Neodiprion lecontei: one gene and its partner. The protein of the gene in region 2 interacts with the protein of the main gene of each other region in a biochemical or structural test. Links are inferred from orthologs where the notes say so. Each region holds a gene or a part of one and is shown on either strand. Other genes may lie near its edges.

Region 1 (8,616 bases), on a different chromosome or scaffold from region 2:
CATGGTGATCAAATTCTTCCGGTTCAGAGAAATGTTATATGATTCAATAAAAAAGGGGTTAGACAATAATTTGTACTGCCAAGTAAAACCGAATTCATTTGAAATAATGAAACACTTCTTTCGCCGTATCTGATATATTTGGTATATATTTGGTAAATTCCTTATTTATGTATGTATGAAACTGTGGAAAGGAATAAGTAGTTGATTATCTATAGACTCTATACTTCCTTGATACCCCTTTATTTTCAAGGATAAAAATAATTATGGTATATGTATATGTATTTATAACTCGCCTTCGGCTTATCTGCGACAGTATATAAACATATGTGTAACACGCATCCGTCAGAATTCTTAGCTGAACCGCATGCATGTGCTACATATGTATATATGTATATAACACGAGTTTCTGATAAATTGAGTTGAAGCGACGTTTTGAGTCATACATGCAAGTTAAATCTGTCGCATGTCAAGTTTATATAAAAGATCGAACGATAACTCAAAGTAGCGGATAGACGGCCTTCGCCCATTCTGTTGCCCATATATAGGCCTAATTCAATTACCTTCTCAACAATAATTGCCGTCGTCCTCGAGGCGAAGTGCGCCAGAGACACCCGACGACATTATCTGGGCCTGCGTGAAGGCAAGGACAAATTGGAAACCTTCGATGCAAAACAGAGCGATTCGATTAATTTTCCGATGCCGATATTCCTTCAAGATTAATTGCCGGCAACTTATCGTCGCGCGCGTCTAGACGTGCCGCAGACTCGCGATAACAGCGACGATTCACGCTGATATCGCTGTACCCTCACGTGCCGATTATCATCCGCAACGGAGAACAAAGAATTAAAAAATAATATGATAGCCTAAATTCAAGTGTTCATGTATTATCGTTCCCTGCGTCCAGTCGACGTACTCCCGAAACTAACAGGTTGAACGGCGCACCTTTCGCCGGGGTAAAAGTTCGGCCCAATCCCGCCAGGCGGAGGCATCATCCTGCATCATCCAGGCTCAGGATCAGGCCGCCGTCGCGCCGGTCTGCTCATCTACTCCTAATATACGCGAGAGTTCGAGGCTCGATTACGACGAATGACGCGAAGGATAGGCCAGAGTGGCGTATCGGCGATGAGACAAGCGCACGAGACGTAGATTACTCTCGGCTAAAGGAACAACATTGCGCGCGTGTCGAACTCTGGCTGCACGATGCGACCGCGAAGCTGAACAAATCAGCCTAGCTTGACTCGGGTGTGTATAGTACACGACCACAACGTCCACGGATGCGATAATCGTGAGGTAACCCGGACGTCGAATATCGATGCGACGATTAATCTGACGCGAAAAAAGAAACTCCAGGGACCCGGTACAATCAGAATCGCGATAGCGGACGAGAGACCCGCTCGTTCATTCCTCGTTAGACGGATCGACCCGACAGCCCCGCAGGCGATGCGTCGATTGCCGTCGATGATCGCATGAGACGATCGTACAGGTACGACCGGCTAATGACGGAGAATTTATCGCCAGCGTAGGTACGATGACTCTTACGATACCCCGTTTCAGCTGAATTTAATCACGAAGCCAAACCCAGCCCGTTACAATCTCGGTAAAGAGAGTATAACACCTGTAAGGGCGAACCTTGATCGTAGAAGGGTTAAAAAGTCTGTAAGAGATAAAAGTCGAAGTCCTTCAACGGAACGCAAAGACCCACCGATATCAAATATCGCGACCACGTAGCCCGAGCGCCAGAGGTCGAATGATCGTTTCGCCCCACCACAGACCAACTAAGCGGCACGCTCGACGCGAGTCGCGCTCGGTGAGTGGAGGGGGCGGCGTCTCGGCCAATGGGGATCGCGGCTGGCGTGCGACGGATCGAATAGGAGCTCGCCGATTGGCCGGTGATGTTTCGCGTCTCTGTCGCTCGCCCGTCTCTCGAGCTCTCCGTCGGCGCGTAGCCTCCCCCCTCCACTTTCCCAAGCTCGCTATACTTGCTCCTCTCACTCTCCAGCCTCCCCTCGACGCGTGCGTTTATCGCCGTCCCACTCGCGCCTCGGATGCACCGCGTTATCTATTTCGCTCCGGGGGTCGCGAGCCGCTTCCCGGCGCGACTCGCCCTCCTCCGACCCCTCGCCCACGTGCACGAGACTATGACGAGAACGATGCAAGAAACTCCGCACGACTGACACACTCAGAAGGAGAGATCAGCCAGCCTTGTTGCGTGCAATCCGGTCCGTATAAACGCCGAGTAGTTTGAGCGGTGCCATGACGAACCGACGAAATTGTAAACCTTGACTTAGGCTGCTGGTACGATTCCGCGACGTTTTTACCAACACACCGGATATCGCGATAACCCCGCTCGTATTACTTATCGCGTCAGTGAATCACATCCCGAGTGCAAAGAACTCCGATCAACCGCAAAGAAAGCAGGATTTCCTAATTCTCATATTCTCGCGTAACCGAGTGCTCTGCACGCGACTATTAATAACGCGGCTAAAGTACGGCGTAGTTGGACGATTCACGATGTCATGACTAGCAATTACACTTGGCGGAAAAACCGCTTCATAAACTCAGACTCACGATTATTCCGCAAAAGACATTTCTCGGGGATGCCTCGAGCTTGCTACATTATTCCGCGTGTCGCGATCCCACGCGATTGTCGATCTACTCGCACTTGCGGAATATTCCAAACACCGGGGAAACGAAACACGACCTACAGATAAGCCGCAGACTGCCGGGAGTGCAGGTATAGTAGAATGTGTAGTAGGTAAATGTGTAGATATGTGCGGATCTCAAGGCAACCGCAAAGCTCGACGGCCAGACGCGTCAGGACGAGTCGCTTCGAGCAGGCCGGAGGTGGGGGTCGAGAAGCGTGCAGCCGCGCGGCGCCGTCGGCCAAAAGTGGCTGCGGAGGGGCAGGGCGGGGGGGGGGGGGCCCGTTTCCCCCTCCCAGCGGTCGAGGACGGTCGGCTCGTTCGAGGAGTCGGAGTCTAGAGCCAGAAAACGTCGGACTGCAGCGAGTACGCGAGTCAGTCGAGCTCCGATGCGCTCAGCGACAGGTCGAGCCTAGGAGCGATCTAGCGATCTGGCAATTGGCCGCGGATGATTGAAGCTTCGACTTCGATTGCAATTTACGATAAAGAATTCCAAACTTTTTCATTTTACGAAATTGACCACCGATCGGATTACGGGACGAGTGTGGACGTTAACGAAAAAGAAAAGAACGTGGTTTTTAAGAATTTTTGGTTTTTTAATCAACAAAGTGATTCGTTCGCCGTCATCAATCGCCGTCGAAGAAGCTTTGGATTATTTTTACTACCTACCTGTGAAGTGTGAAATAATATATTAAATAAAAACGAAAAAACATTGTTTTTCAAAATAGTGGAGAGGATAGTTAAACTTGATTAAAACGAGATTGTATACGCCCGGTTTCGTCTCTCTGAGGTGAGATTATAACGTTTAAATCATGGTGACCGGAGTTGGTGCTACGATGCCAACCGGAGGTGTCACGGTGGGCTCTGCGCCACAGACCCAACACGTGCCTCAGGAGGCAGGACAACCTCCTGCTCAGACTGCGACTTCAACCACCAGACGATCCGGGGAAAATCGACGGGTTAGTGTCTCTTCTATATGTTCTCGAGATAATGGGAAACAAAAAGAAATCTTAAGAAATCTAGCGAAACATAAGGAATAAATTCGATAAAATCTTGAGCACGTTTCGGAGCTGTTGGATAGCTAGTTCGAAAAGAACACCCTAAAATCCCGACAAGGTTCTTGAAACGTTCCGATCGAGTCGTATAACCGGTTGGCTGGTCAAGAAATTGGAAAGATGGCAAGAATGGTCCGACTTTTTGCCTTTCGATGTGAAAAATTGTTCTCGTTTTTATCAGCGTTGTTTCTTCTTTTTTTCTTTCTGATCGAAATTTCAATCACTCAAAAGTTGCGAGATCCACTCCGCGTCTTTTCGGAGCGAATTATTCAAGGGTGTTCAGTTGGGTGCGGGTTAACGGAACACATTTGGATTTTCATTCTTATTTCGATTTTACGGAGACACCTGCAGCTTCTGATTTCTAAGAGTCATTGAACCGACGGACACTTGTCGTCTTTGAGGCGAAAATGTCTAGCGCTCGATTCGATTGTAGGCAGGCTGTTAAAGGCGACGCGTCCAAGTGCCTAGAGAAAGTAGAACGTCGCCGTCGGCCGGCTTTAATACCGCGAATAATCCCACCGGCCGGTTTCTTCTTTTCCACTGCTTTCCGGGTTGAAATTTCCTGTGCCTATTTTCGTTTTATTTATTTATTTATTTTTTTATTCTTGTAAGCACGCTTTAAATTCGTGACCCTGAAATTAACCGACGATGATGTTTTTTTTTAATTACAGAGCAATAAACCGATAATGGAAAAACGTCGTCGGGCTCGGATTAACAACTGCCTGAATGATCTGAAGACCCTGATACTCGACGCGATGAAAAAAGACGTAAGTATCTATAATTTTCGAATAGCTCAGCAGGTGAAACAGGCGTGAGGATTAGTCCTGTTCTCATTCTGTTTCTTCCGTATCCTTTCCTCTGCAGCGACAAGACTGCATTCGACTAACCACCGTGTTTCTCCAATTTCTGATTACAGCCAGCGAGACACTCGAAGCTGGAAAAAGCTGACATCCTCGAGATGACGGTAAAGCACCTGGAGACGTTGCAGCGTCAGCAAGTAGCTCTTGCGGCGGCGACAGACCCGAACGTGCTGAACAAGTTCCGTGCCGGATTCACAGAATGCGCAGGAGAAGTCGGCCGGTTCCCAGGCCTCGAGGCGTCGGTGAAGCGACGTCTGATGGCGCACTTGGCCTCGTGCCTGGGCCCCGTCGACTCGACGACGACGTCGAACGGCCAGAGCGGACAGCAGCCGGTGCAGCCGGCGGCGCCGGCGACCCAACTCCAGGTCCACATCCTGCCGCAGGTCGACGCAACACCCAGGATCCAGGTCCAGCAGTCGAACGGCATCTTCTTCACGAACGCCAACGGGACGGGACTCCAGTTGGTACCGACGCGCCTTCCCAACGGCGACATCGCCCTCGTTCTGCCCGCTGGCGCCAAGGCGACACCCGTCGCGTCACCGTCGGCATCGCCGGCCCCCGCGTCGCCTTTACCCACCCTGATACCGATCCCCCAGAGGACGGCCTCAACCGCGTCGGCATCCTCGTCCTCTTCCTCGACGAGCTCGACCTCCACCTCGGCCGGCAGTCCCGTTGCCTTTGAGGCGCCCCCGCCCACATTCAGGGAGCAGAATTCACCCTTCACCACCACCGCAAGCCACAGAGACGTCGCCACTTCACCGGCGAACGGATACACCAGCGACCCTGAGTTCGATCCCCGGGTCTACAGTGCGCCGCTGCAGAAACCTCTCGCTCTCGTTATGAGGAAGAGCGTCGTTCCTGAGGTCGAGGACAAACCCTGGAGACCTTGGTAAGGAGGAGATTTATCGAGGATTTACCTTAACGCGCCTGTGCGAATCGAGAGATGAGAGAATATCGATGACTTGGGCTTCCCCGACAAAGACTAATTGATCTTCGTTTTTATTTTGACTTTGATTGGTTGTTATTTTTTTTTTTTTTATGATTTTCATTCATTTTCTTATTTCCAACGAGAATGATGTAACGACTTAGAGCTTAGGGATGTAGAGAGTGAGTGTCTCCGCGATGTCGGCCAGTATAATAATTAACCTGTTGGGCAGTGCCTTGAACAGTGCCTTTGTTGTAGATCGTGTATCTAGAGTTGTTTTGTATATATAGAGATATTTGCCACTTGTGGACTTTAACCGAGACTAATTGACGATGGATAAGAGTAAGAAGAAATGAAAATATAAATGTGTAATGGTTTGGTTTTTTTTCTACTAACGGTTCGGAAACCTATTTGATTGAAATTCATTTGAACCTTGACGATCCGACAGTTTAGAAATGTAAATATAGTAAACTGTAAAGTGTAGGTATAACGTACGTTATTGTACCCCCGTCACCCTCTACGATTATTAAACTATATAAGTGCCTTACGCAACAAGAATCACTCAAGTCTTCCATTAATAATAATTAATACCTTATATGTTTCTTGTGTACGTAAATCGCGCTGCAGAGAAAAAAAACGTTTAAACAGAATAAAAATAAAATGTGTAATAACGTTGTGTAAATTATAATAGATGTATAAGAATTTTGTAATTAATTTGTTATGATTATCCGATTAGACGGTTTAGTGATGTAAGAAATTGCGAGATACGACGAGAAAAAGTTGACGAAAGAATATGTAGAGGAGAGGAGATATAGGTAGATAAGAAAGAGAAAGAGAGACAGAGAGAGAGAAAGAAAGGACGTATGTAAGAATGTTTTATTTATATTTATGAGTGTAAAAGATTGAGTTTATTATTCCTGTCTATTATGACGATAGAAAAGCACGCTTATTACAACAAGAGTGTCAAATAAATTGATCTCTTTATTAAAACCTTTAATTTGACTCGTCAGTTCAACCCCATCCGCCGCACACCTCCTTTCCCTTTGTACTTTATACTCCGACTCTGACGTCTTCATATCGTTTCACGAAGCCGATTCAGGCTCTTCTACTTGAAAATTCCAAAAAAAAAAAAAAAAAACCACGACGTTTCTGTAGTATTAGAATTCGTCAAACTATCCGAAAAATATATTTACAAAAAATGATCGGTCTGCAAAGTGCCATTAAAAATTGTTCGCTTCTTGAACAAGAAATCAGCTTCCTTCGGTCCGGTTCGCCGCTCGCATCTCACACACGTTGCACGTCTGGAGAGCGACTAACCGCGAGTTAAGTCAAGGACCCATCTTCTCCCACTCCTCGGCGTCCGGCTCTCGGTGAGCACGGTGCGCGCCTTTCGAGCACCAAAAAAAGTCCAGCGTGCGTCCTGCCGCCGAAACCCTTTGCAAGGACTTGCTGCCGCCTGGCGGGATGACGCGAAACCCTTCAGAGCCCGGATGTCTCGCCGAGGGTCCTGGCATTCTTTTTCGTCGACGATCGCTCGGGCGAAAGGGTGTGTATGGCCTACGGGAAACAGGGGAGACAAAAGTTACTTTGACCAGTATATCACAACAGGGAGTAACGAATTTCTTTTTGAGTTTTCCAAGCCGAGATATCGGGACGAACTCAATTATCCTGTTTTCGACAGCTGCCAATTTATCGAAATAGAATCATCGGCTCAAAAACACGGGGCAAACGAAGGAGAAAACATTTAGAATCGAGATGATATTTTTTTATAATTCGCATACTGTTTTTGCAGGTAACATTTTCACGGCAAGTAAGAGAGAACAAATTAAGAAAAAATACCAAGGGGTTGTATAATTTCGCGTGCCCCACGATGGAGCGAGAAAAACGGGAAAGAGAGACAGAAAAACTAAGGAGAGAATTGTGATTTTCGGTAAATTTGTTGCAATTTTTTGTCACGCGAAGAAAAGTGAAAGTTGAAGTTAGAACTAAGGAGAAATGTAATTGTAAATACTCAACTAACTTTAGAAAAAAACGAGCTCAAGAGGTACTGATCTGTACCAATTTTTTGTTTTTTAGACAATTGCCGAAACTTATAGACTAAACCTTGCTAGCTAGAATTTTGGTTCAGTGCCAATTATAAGGCTGCAGCAATCCAAACCAGCAAGGAACTTTTCGGTCACCTTAAAAAATTTATTGCGATTTCGAAAATTTTCCATCACAACTTTTCCGACTGTTTTTGAATAATCGTTTTAGTTTATCCGCAGACTGGTATGCAGGCGCATTGTCAACTGTCCGCTCCTCTTTTTTCGGAGAATGGGAAGTGCGTGTGTTCGTCGTTTATTTACGTATCCCATAGAACCGTGGGCCATTGGGCCACCTCCGGCTGAACTTGGCTGCGTCGAAAGAAGCAGCGCAAGAATTCGCAAGACTAGACCGTTAAAAATTTCTGAATTGAAATTCCTACACTGTATTGTAAGTTTTATTCGGATACGGAACAGAGAAATTTACCATACATTTACCGTTTACACAATTTACACAATTTAGAAAATTGAAAATCAAAAATTTTCACTATAAATTTAAGATAAATACACAGTAATTTAAATCGCTGCACCGAATATGTAAATTTGTTAGCCGATTTCGTAGATCGACGACTCTTTTGTACAGTAAACGTATAGCAAAGTCAGAATCATTTTTAATATTATACTTACGCTCGATGTTTCCCTGTTTTTCAAAATTACGAGATTCGACGGATCAGCCAAGGCATCGCGACCAATTCGGTCCAACCGAAAAAATCGTAGATACACTATCACCGCGATAAGCGTGGCGCGTGCGAACTTTATACACGTGTAGATCGATAAGAAATCGTATGCGGAATACGAAAGTCGATCTAGCTCTCGTAATTCCGCGATGTTGAAGCATGGCTTTTTCCATTTGGAGTACGGCTAGTCAGTCGCTCGTTTCGATCGCGTTCCACATTTGAAACTCGCCTTTGATTTCCGAAGCGGATGGACACGAATCCGCCCCACGGCCTTGTTCTTGGCTAACGCATTACAAGTACTCTGGAATTGAGACGTATCCGTTAATCCGTACAACAAACCACCTCCGACTCTCCGACGACGTTTATCATATTATCC
Region 2 (7,654 bases):
ACTCGAGAGTAATTTTTGCAGTATAATGAAATTTAATATTGTTAGAAACAAGTTGATAGCAAAAAATCGTTGAAATTGCAGGGATGATTAATTTCCGAGACAGTTACCCCTCTACACATGTTATACGTAAATCATAAGTTTTTGAGGTCGCTGATTACGAATCTGAAATCAGATTTTTAACATTCAAGATAGTGGATCCAATATGGCGGACGAAAGTTTCAAATTTCATCGAATCCAGAGAAAAAAAACTCTGTCCAGGTGTTTTTGGGGTCGCTGGTTATTTCTGAAATCAGATTTTGTAAATTCAGTATGGAAAATCCAATCAGCGACCCCGAGAAGTCCCGCAGAGTTTTTTGGCCGTATTCGATCAAACTTGAAATTTTAGTCCGCCATATTGCGGCCGACGTGTCGAATTTTTGAAATCTGATTTGAGATTCGTAATCGGCGACCCCAAATATCCTGGAATACTATTTTGTTATGAAAGTTGACTCAGCACAGAGACCGCAAACCGTGACGCAAGAACAACAATTCAAAGTTGACTATTTGCGCTCGAGTTGACTATTTCCCTCCTCGAGGCAGGCTTTACACTTGCAATCGAAAGTTACGTGGCGTTTAGGATACCGGGTAAACTTCTTTTATTAACCATAGAACGTGCCGCCGCTTCTTTCATGCATATTTTATTATCCGCTAAGCCACAGCTCAACGTCATTACATAACGAAAAATTGCAAATCTCTATATTTGGATTAGCATTGATATTGCGAACAGTCGACTCGCAATATATGTATAATAATGTATGAAAATATGATAGATCGAATAATCTAATCGGCTCAAGGGGATGTCAAACCTCTGTCAAATGAGACAAATCGTTTTTTTTTTGCAATACTTACTCTTTCTCAGTACGAATGAAATATCTTCAAACTTTGGCTGATTATAGGACTCCTTGTGATGGAGCTTTCGTTTTGACTAATGAAAGTTCATAAAATTAATGAAACACGAGGTATGTGTAATGTTGAACCGTGAGATAGATTACCGGACAAAAAACGTCACATCTAATAGTCACAGGTTGAAATAAGAGGGGGAAAACAGCTGCAGCAAGCACGCGTATATAATGTATACCTGTATATATATTCTTGTAATACGAATACGTTTATTATATTATACTCGTCATGTAGTTATCGCTACAAACTACGTATAATATAAAGATGTATTCCATATACATATAGAGGCACGCATTATACTTCATCAGCGACAGTACGAACATCACATACATCTGCACGTGTGTACATAGAATGTTTGCAAATGAGGTTGAAGTTCGTAACGTTAATATATCGATGCATATTCAAGAAAAAACGTTACTTCGCAACTTCAGAATCGTTTGAAATTCAGTAATCCACAATTAAAGCAAAACGTACTCACGTTGTGCAGACTAAACGTTTTCAAAATCTTTCCGAAATAGTAAATTAACGAGTTTTGTGTCGATGCTTTATTATCTTAAAATTACTAACTTCAATTCTGTTGTTTGCAGATGAATTATTTTTTGGCGCTAATCCGAACTAATCCGAAAGTCAATTACACTGCACTTGTTGTCACCGTACAATGTGAAAAAAAATTCAAAGTTTCGGGTCAATCAGTTAATGTCAAACTCAAGACTAAAGATTTTTTTTACGCTTATTTTCAACAATCTTTCAACATTTTGTTTTAAGTATCCGATATAAATTAAATATTGACAACTCAACTTTTGACAAGATTTATTAAATTTTTCTTTAATGCAAAAATTTAGCATTTCTTTTCTTTACTCTCAAAAGAATAGAAAAGAACGCTCGAGCATGTGAAGTTCGTTGAATTTCCATTGGTTCATTTTCCATGAATGAAAGACAGCAGCTTTTGAGCGGACTTTAGCTAAAATCGATTTTCAGTCGCACTAGTGGCCAATATTCAATAAATTACTGTCTGTGTATCAGAAAAAATAAAGTCAATTTCAGTAGGAAAACGTAATATTCGTAATCGCAGCACGCATATCTGTAGGTGATTGCAATATGAGCGTATTTGTGTATAACTACGTAATGCATGTATACATAAGTATAATGTATAAATATGTATACATACATGTATGTAACATACGTAATATGCGCCGATCGCATCATCGGAGCTTCGGTCACTTCTGAACAATAGAAAGTTTCATTCGGAAGATTAATACATTGATGAAGTAACGATCAACGATGAATAAAACGAGAACGAGCGAGCGAGTCATGACTGGATATGAGCAGCAATAAACTTGGCCTTTCAATTCTCAGTCGTATATGTATAGTTTTCGGATACGATTGTATAAACGAACGCGAGTAGCAAATATACCTAAGAAAGTCCAAAGTCCTGAAGAAGAAATTGTGAGCCTGAACATGCTTGCACACCATGCATGTAAGGAATTCGGAAATATCTAGTTTTTCCTCTGATGTGAGAAATAACGGTTATACATATGCGTGTATTCATTTTGTTTCTCGGCATCACAATATTTGATAATAATAATTATTTTTTTTTCATTCGTGTACAAACGCGTTGCTCCGAGTTCATAAAACACGCCAAAAGTATATAATTATACAATACCTTGTCTCTCAACATACCGGGATAATACGTATGTATTCATTTTCTCTCCCGTACGTTGATTACAATTATCTAAGAATTATTAGCCGCAGAACCGAGAAGACGAGTTGACGAGCAACGCGATTAATAAAAGAAATCCAGACCGAGGGACTGAAATGTGGTGATATTTTAAACGGAAATCCAACATCAACATATATGCTTCGTATCTCAGAATTATAAACTAGTTCTGATATTTCGAAAAAATTGTGCACCGGAACAAAACACACGGCAATTGGTTGGTTATTTTTCAACTTATTATAACATTTTAATAACTGATTTCAATAATCTCCCGATCATCCACTCGTCCAATCGAACGTTCAATTTTTTCATCTACGTTTAACGGAACGTAAAAAAGAAGAAAAACTTTACGTCACGAGATTTGCCTACACGACGACTCTTGTGAGTAAATGTAGTAAATGATTACCATTTATTTTTATTATATACATTCGGTAAACGTATTCGTTCGGTAGATTAAATTCGTATCAGAGATGAACTACGATGTGTGTAGACATACGCGTAACTTTAATCACGCACACAACTCGAACCATGCGTTTAAATGATTGTACACATATGCTCCGTGTGGTATATTTTTAGATGTATAAAAACTTTTTTTCTCCGGAAAACCAAACTCAACGATCCTCGACAGCAATGTAGGTATGTCAAGTATTATTTCGCACAGTGCGAAAATGATCGGACGCGACGAACGAACGTACGTACGTTTAATGAATTATAAATGAATCATTTCTTCGGTAAAAGTGTTCTCTACTCAGTCGTACAATTAACGGTATAGTGTAACAATGAAGGAGGCACGTGGTGTTGGTATCATACATGCGTTCCGAACTCAAGTTTGAAATTCAAGTTTCAACAGACTCGTTTTTGTTGTCCGAAATTAACACAACTAGAAATTAAGGAATTAAAGAATAGAACAAATGATGAAAAGTTATGGCCGAAATAGTCTGATCGTCATTGTTGAGAAAGTTGCCACAATTTCTTCTTCCATGGTAACGCGAATTAAAGACGTCGATTGGCCCGATATTAAAGAAGCCAGTGAAGTCGTGTTTAACGAGTAAACTACGGTGTAACAGAAGCAAAGATAGAGAGAGAGCGGGAGAGAGAGAGAGAAACGAGAGGGGAGGAGTGGTAAGGGAGAACGGAAGGAGGGGGTAGATAAGAAATAAATGTAAAAGGTAAAAGTTTGGCGAAGAAGGAAAGCGACAAGTGTAACGTAATGGCGATAGCTGGCGGTTAGGCGATGGTAGAACGCCGCGGCCGTCGGTCGAATAGCCGACAAGTGCGCGTATTAAGGGGGAGGAATGAAATAAATGCGCGTGGCTGCCGAAGCGTCTCTACTCCCGCCATATCAGCGACGTAAACCACGCATCTTTTCACGAACACGTAACACCCACGAATGAATTGGAGCGCAGACACGCGCGCTTCGGATATTCTTCGGCTATAGCTAGGCCACCTATCTGTGCATCTATCTACCCGCCTGCTTGCCCGATGCTTATTGCGTTTGCCTGCGAAGAAAGACGCATGGATGGCAGAGCGTAGGCATCCTAGCCAGGAACCCGGTAAAACTATCGCTGATTATGCACCGGAATTATGTAGGGATTTGTCTACGTACCTCTTTCTAACGAATCAATCATTCGCCGAGATGAGTGACGGTGTAATATTTCGCCGTTGGAGAATCACCCTTCGAATCACGGCACACAATGTTAGTCGGGCGCACTTGGCGTTTCGGTGTTTGGTCCCGGTTTAACCCGAGTTTTTCTTGTTACTTTGGGCTTTTGGTTGCACAATTTGGGCCCAAGGGTCCCGCGCGCCCACCCGACACCCCGCACTCGCGAAAGTCACTCAATTGTCAACCGAAATAAGTAATAATTAACAGAGAACGCTTGCGAAGCACGGCCGAGCGACTCTCTCCCTCACTGGAGGAAAATGGCGGCCCCCCCGAGCGAGTAGCGCGCGCCTCCGATCATCGCCGAAATAATACGAACGACTGAATTACAAATGTTGTCCAATGTATTTTCACCGTTCGAATATCCGCCGATCGTCAAACCAGCTATGGATGGATGTTCGCCGATACCCCTTCCGACACGTTTCGCAAACCACGCGATTTTTATTTCAGAGTATTTTCAAACAGGATTAGCCTCGCTCACGTCGAAAGCTCACTCATCACTCGTCGTTTATATCTTCGTAAGCAACGCGCTGTCGTTTCGATGCATCGGGAAGTTGTGTCGTACGGATTTGTTCTTTCTACGTGTAGTATGTATAGGTATGTACATACCTTTCGCTTGACCGCAAAACTGTATTGTTTTTAATTGATAATTAGTATCACGCAGATTGACAAATTGGTAATTGCATCACTGAGCAAGAGAGGTAATTCAGCGGCAACAATTAACACGTTTCAAGTGACGATACAAAGCAGTTGTACAACGTGGAGATGTCGACTGGCAATCTTTCGAATGGCGCCATCTGTTCGAGAAACACAAATGTTGCAAGTTCATTATTTACTCGCGTGTAGCACCAAGTTAGGCGAAACTGCAGTCAAGTCTTGTATAAACGCAAATCCGTAGCATAGTCTGTTTGGAGTGTATGGTCCGAGGTCTGTTTACACCAGTCAGCTGGAAGATAATGGACGGGTTTTGATTTCAGCTACTAATGCGTAGTCCGTCAAGGCGTTCCACTGGCAATTCTTTGACACTACACGACATCAGAGAATAATTTGAATCAAATTGGAGCGATTTAATTCGAAGAGAATTGAACATGTCGGACGTTAAGAGCTTGGAGCACCCAACTTTGAAGGTAAATAAGCATGTTTCGTCACTTCGAAACGTCAGAATTTATTATGATGGCTGAACCTGAATCCTCTTCGAATTCATCAAACTCGGCTACACGATGGGAAAATTTTCTTCTTTCAGACACTTATAATATTCAGGCAAACAAAAAAGGTTTCCTTTTACAGCCGTTATCTGAACTTCCCAATATTGTTATCGTTTTTTATGAAAGTATGATAAGATTGACGAATAATTCTTTGAATAACTGTCATACACACCCGCGTAAGAATTTTTTTTCTCGCCCAAAGGCAGACTTCATCTTTGCATTGTTTTTTGTGTAAATCACTCGTTTGTAGTTTGTGATGGTCAGTCTTACGGTAGTTTTTCTTTCTTTCTTTTTGTCATTTCTTGACAAGTAAATACTACTTTCAATTTATGGTGTATCAAAAACATGAAGAATACTATTTGTATTCACTTACTCAATGCCATTTCTACCCTGTCTGAATAATGTATTCACAGTTGATGATAACGCTATTGTCGAGGTACACATGGCAGATCTGATTTTTTTTTTTTTTTCTCCTATTTATAACTGAAACAATTTATTCCCTGCTTGACCTTGGATTACTACAGCCGATTACAATTCGTACTTGTTCTGTATTGTCAAGATATTTTACGCGCCTCGTATATTCTTATTTTGATGTAAAATATCAAGTCCACAGATTGCAGACCATTTATTATTAATAATACTATTTTGAAATAGCTGAATTATAAGACATTTAGAAATAACACCAATTATAATTATTTTTCGCTTTACACTCAGCTTATCCCATTTTTATATAAAACTTCGACACATTATCATTTTCATCGTTAAAACACACTTAGAATAACAACTATTTTCTGCATCCTACATTAGAACTTCAAGCATGAAAAATATTAGACGTACTTCGAATGATGTTAATAAAAAAATTCCGGAATCTCTGTGGTACTGAGCATACCTTTTTTATTTAATCCAAGATGATTTTTTATTCATTTTTCCGAAGGATCGATTTTTTGGAACATTTCACGCTTGTCTATCGTTGTTTCTTCGTCCACACCTTCAAGATGTTTCTCAGAAATTTGTCCAAGATTAACGAGAACTAGAGAACAAAAATTTTCACTGGCTTGTGTTATTTAAATGACAAAGTAATGATTCAATTAACGCATAGCTTGACCTTCTCCTCTAGCTGAGATATTGTCAAAATTCAGATATAAATATGTAAGACATACAAAATGTAAAAATTCACAAATAGCATCATTTTATTCCCATCAAATCATGTACCGCATGCAATCTCACGAATTATAATATCCTGCACTGATTACAGGGAGACGACACAATGGATGAACAGTTTTTGTCAACAGATTCTTATACAAAAATGAAAAAATCTGCATTTAACAATTGGTTTGGCTTGTAATACTGAAAAACAATCGATTATTGTCAAAAATTGTCAAGAGAGAACTTCCTATAATTCCACACATCACTCCAATATTTTCAAAGATTGATTAAATTTTGTATTTAGTTTCCAATTATTGAACAAAGCTTACTGAAAACCGATATCAACAATACAAGCTGTGTGAATATCTGATCCAATTTACAATTAATTGTGTTCTAGGTGCCGTACGAGCTATTAAATAAAAAATTTCGATCAGCTCAAAAGACTTTGGATCGTGAAGTTTCTCATGTCCAGACAGCGGCAAACGAATTGGAGAAAGGATTAGTGGGAGAATCAGGGGGGGTGGCCAGCGGCGAAATAACTCGTCTGTTAGGAGGTGTTGTAGCTAGACTTCAAGTGCTCAAGCGTAAAGCACAAGAATCAATCGCAGAAGAGCTACAGGCTGGTATGGTCTGCAAAAGACGACTGGATCACTTGAAGGAACATGCCAATACAGCGCCAAGTGCTGTCAACCAGTGGAGAAGACAAAGACTGGACAGGATGCTGGTTGAATATTTCTTACGCAAGGGATACTATACGACTGCCACCAAGTTGGCTGATAATAGCGAATTAAGGGATCTGACTAACATTGGTAAACAGTAATGTTGTCTGAAGGATAATTCCTGACTATTGAAACACGTACTGTAAACTATCTTTTCCTTTCTGAAAAATTCGTGCAATTATAAAAATACCTATGTAATGATAATCATATTTATTTTGTACTTCATTCATTCCGCATTCTTTACCAGTTTAGGTATTAGCTATTTTAA

Evidence for each region.
Region 1: the proteins of C-terminal-binding protein (region 2) and protein hairy form a complex in vitro, tested with the Drosophila melanogaster proteins (2 studies listed by BioGRID). The link is inferred for Neodiprion lecontei from reciprocal best matches to the Drosophila melanogaster genes CtBP and hry.

Annotation. Positions count from the first base shown.
Region 1 is NC_060261.1:36,900,307-36,908,922, forward strand, and holds protein hairy, read left to right. Parts: upstream 1-2,938; 5' UTR 2,939-3,454; coding exon 3,455-3,601; intron 3,602-4,368; coding exon 4,369-4,464; intron 4,465-4,613; coding exon 4,614-5,450; 3' UTR 5,451-6,479; downstream 6,480-8,616. UniProt on the Drosophila melanogaster protein: Pair-rule protein that regulates embryonic segmentation and adult bristle patterning. Transcriptional repressor of genes that require a bHLH protein for their transcription (e.g. ftz).
Region 2 is NC_060260.1:13,754,707-13,762,360, forward strand, and holds the start of C-terminal-binding protein, read right to left. Parts: upstream 4,634-7,654; 5' UTR 4,263-4,633; intron 1-4,262. Other genes in the region: E3 ubiquitin-protein transferase MAEA, read left to right, coding at 5,405-5,443, 7,065-7,476. UniProt on the Drosophila melanogaster protein: Corepressor targeting diverse transcription regulators. Hairy-interacting protein required for embryonic segmentation and hairy-mediated transcriptional repression.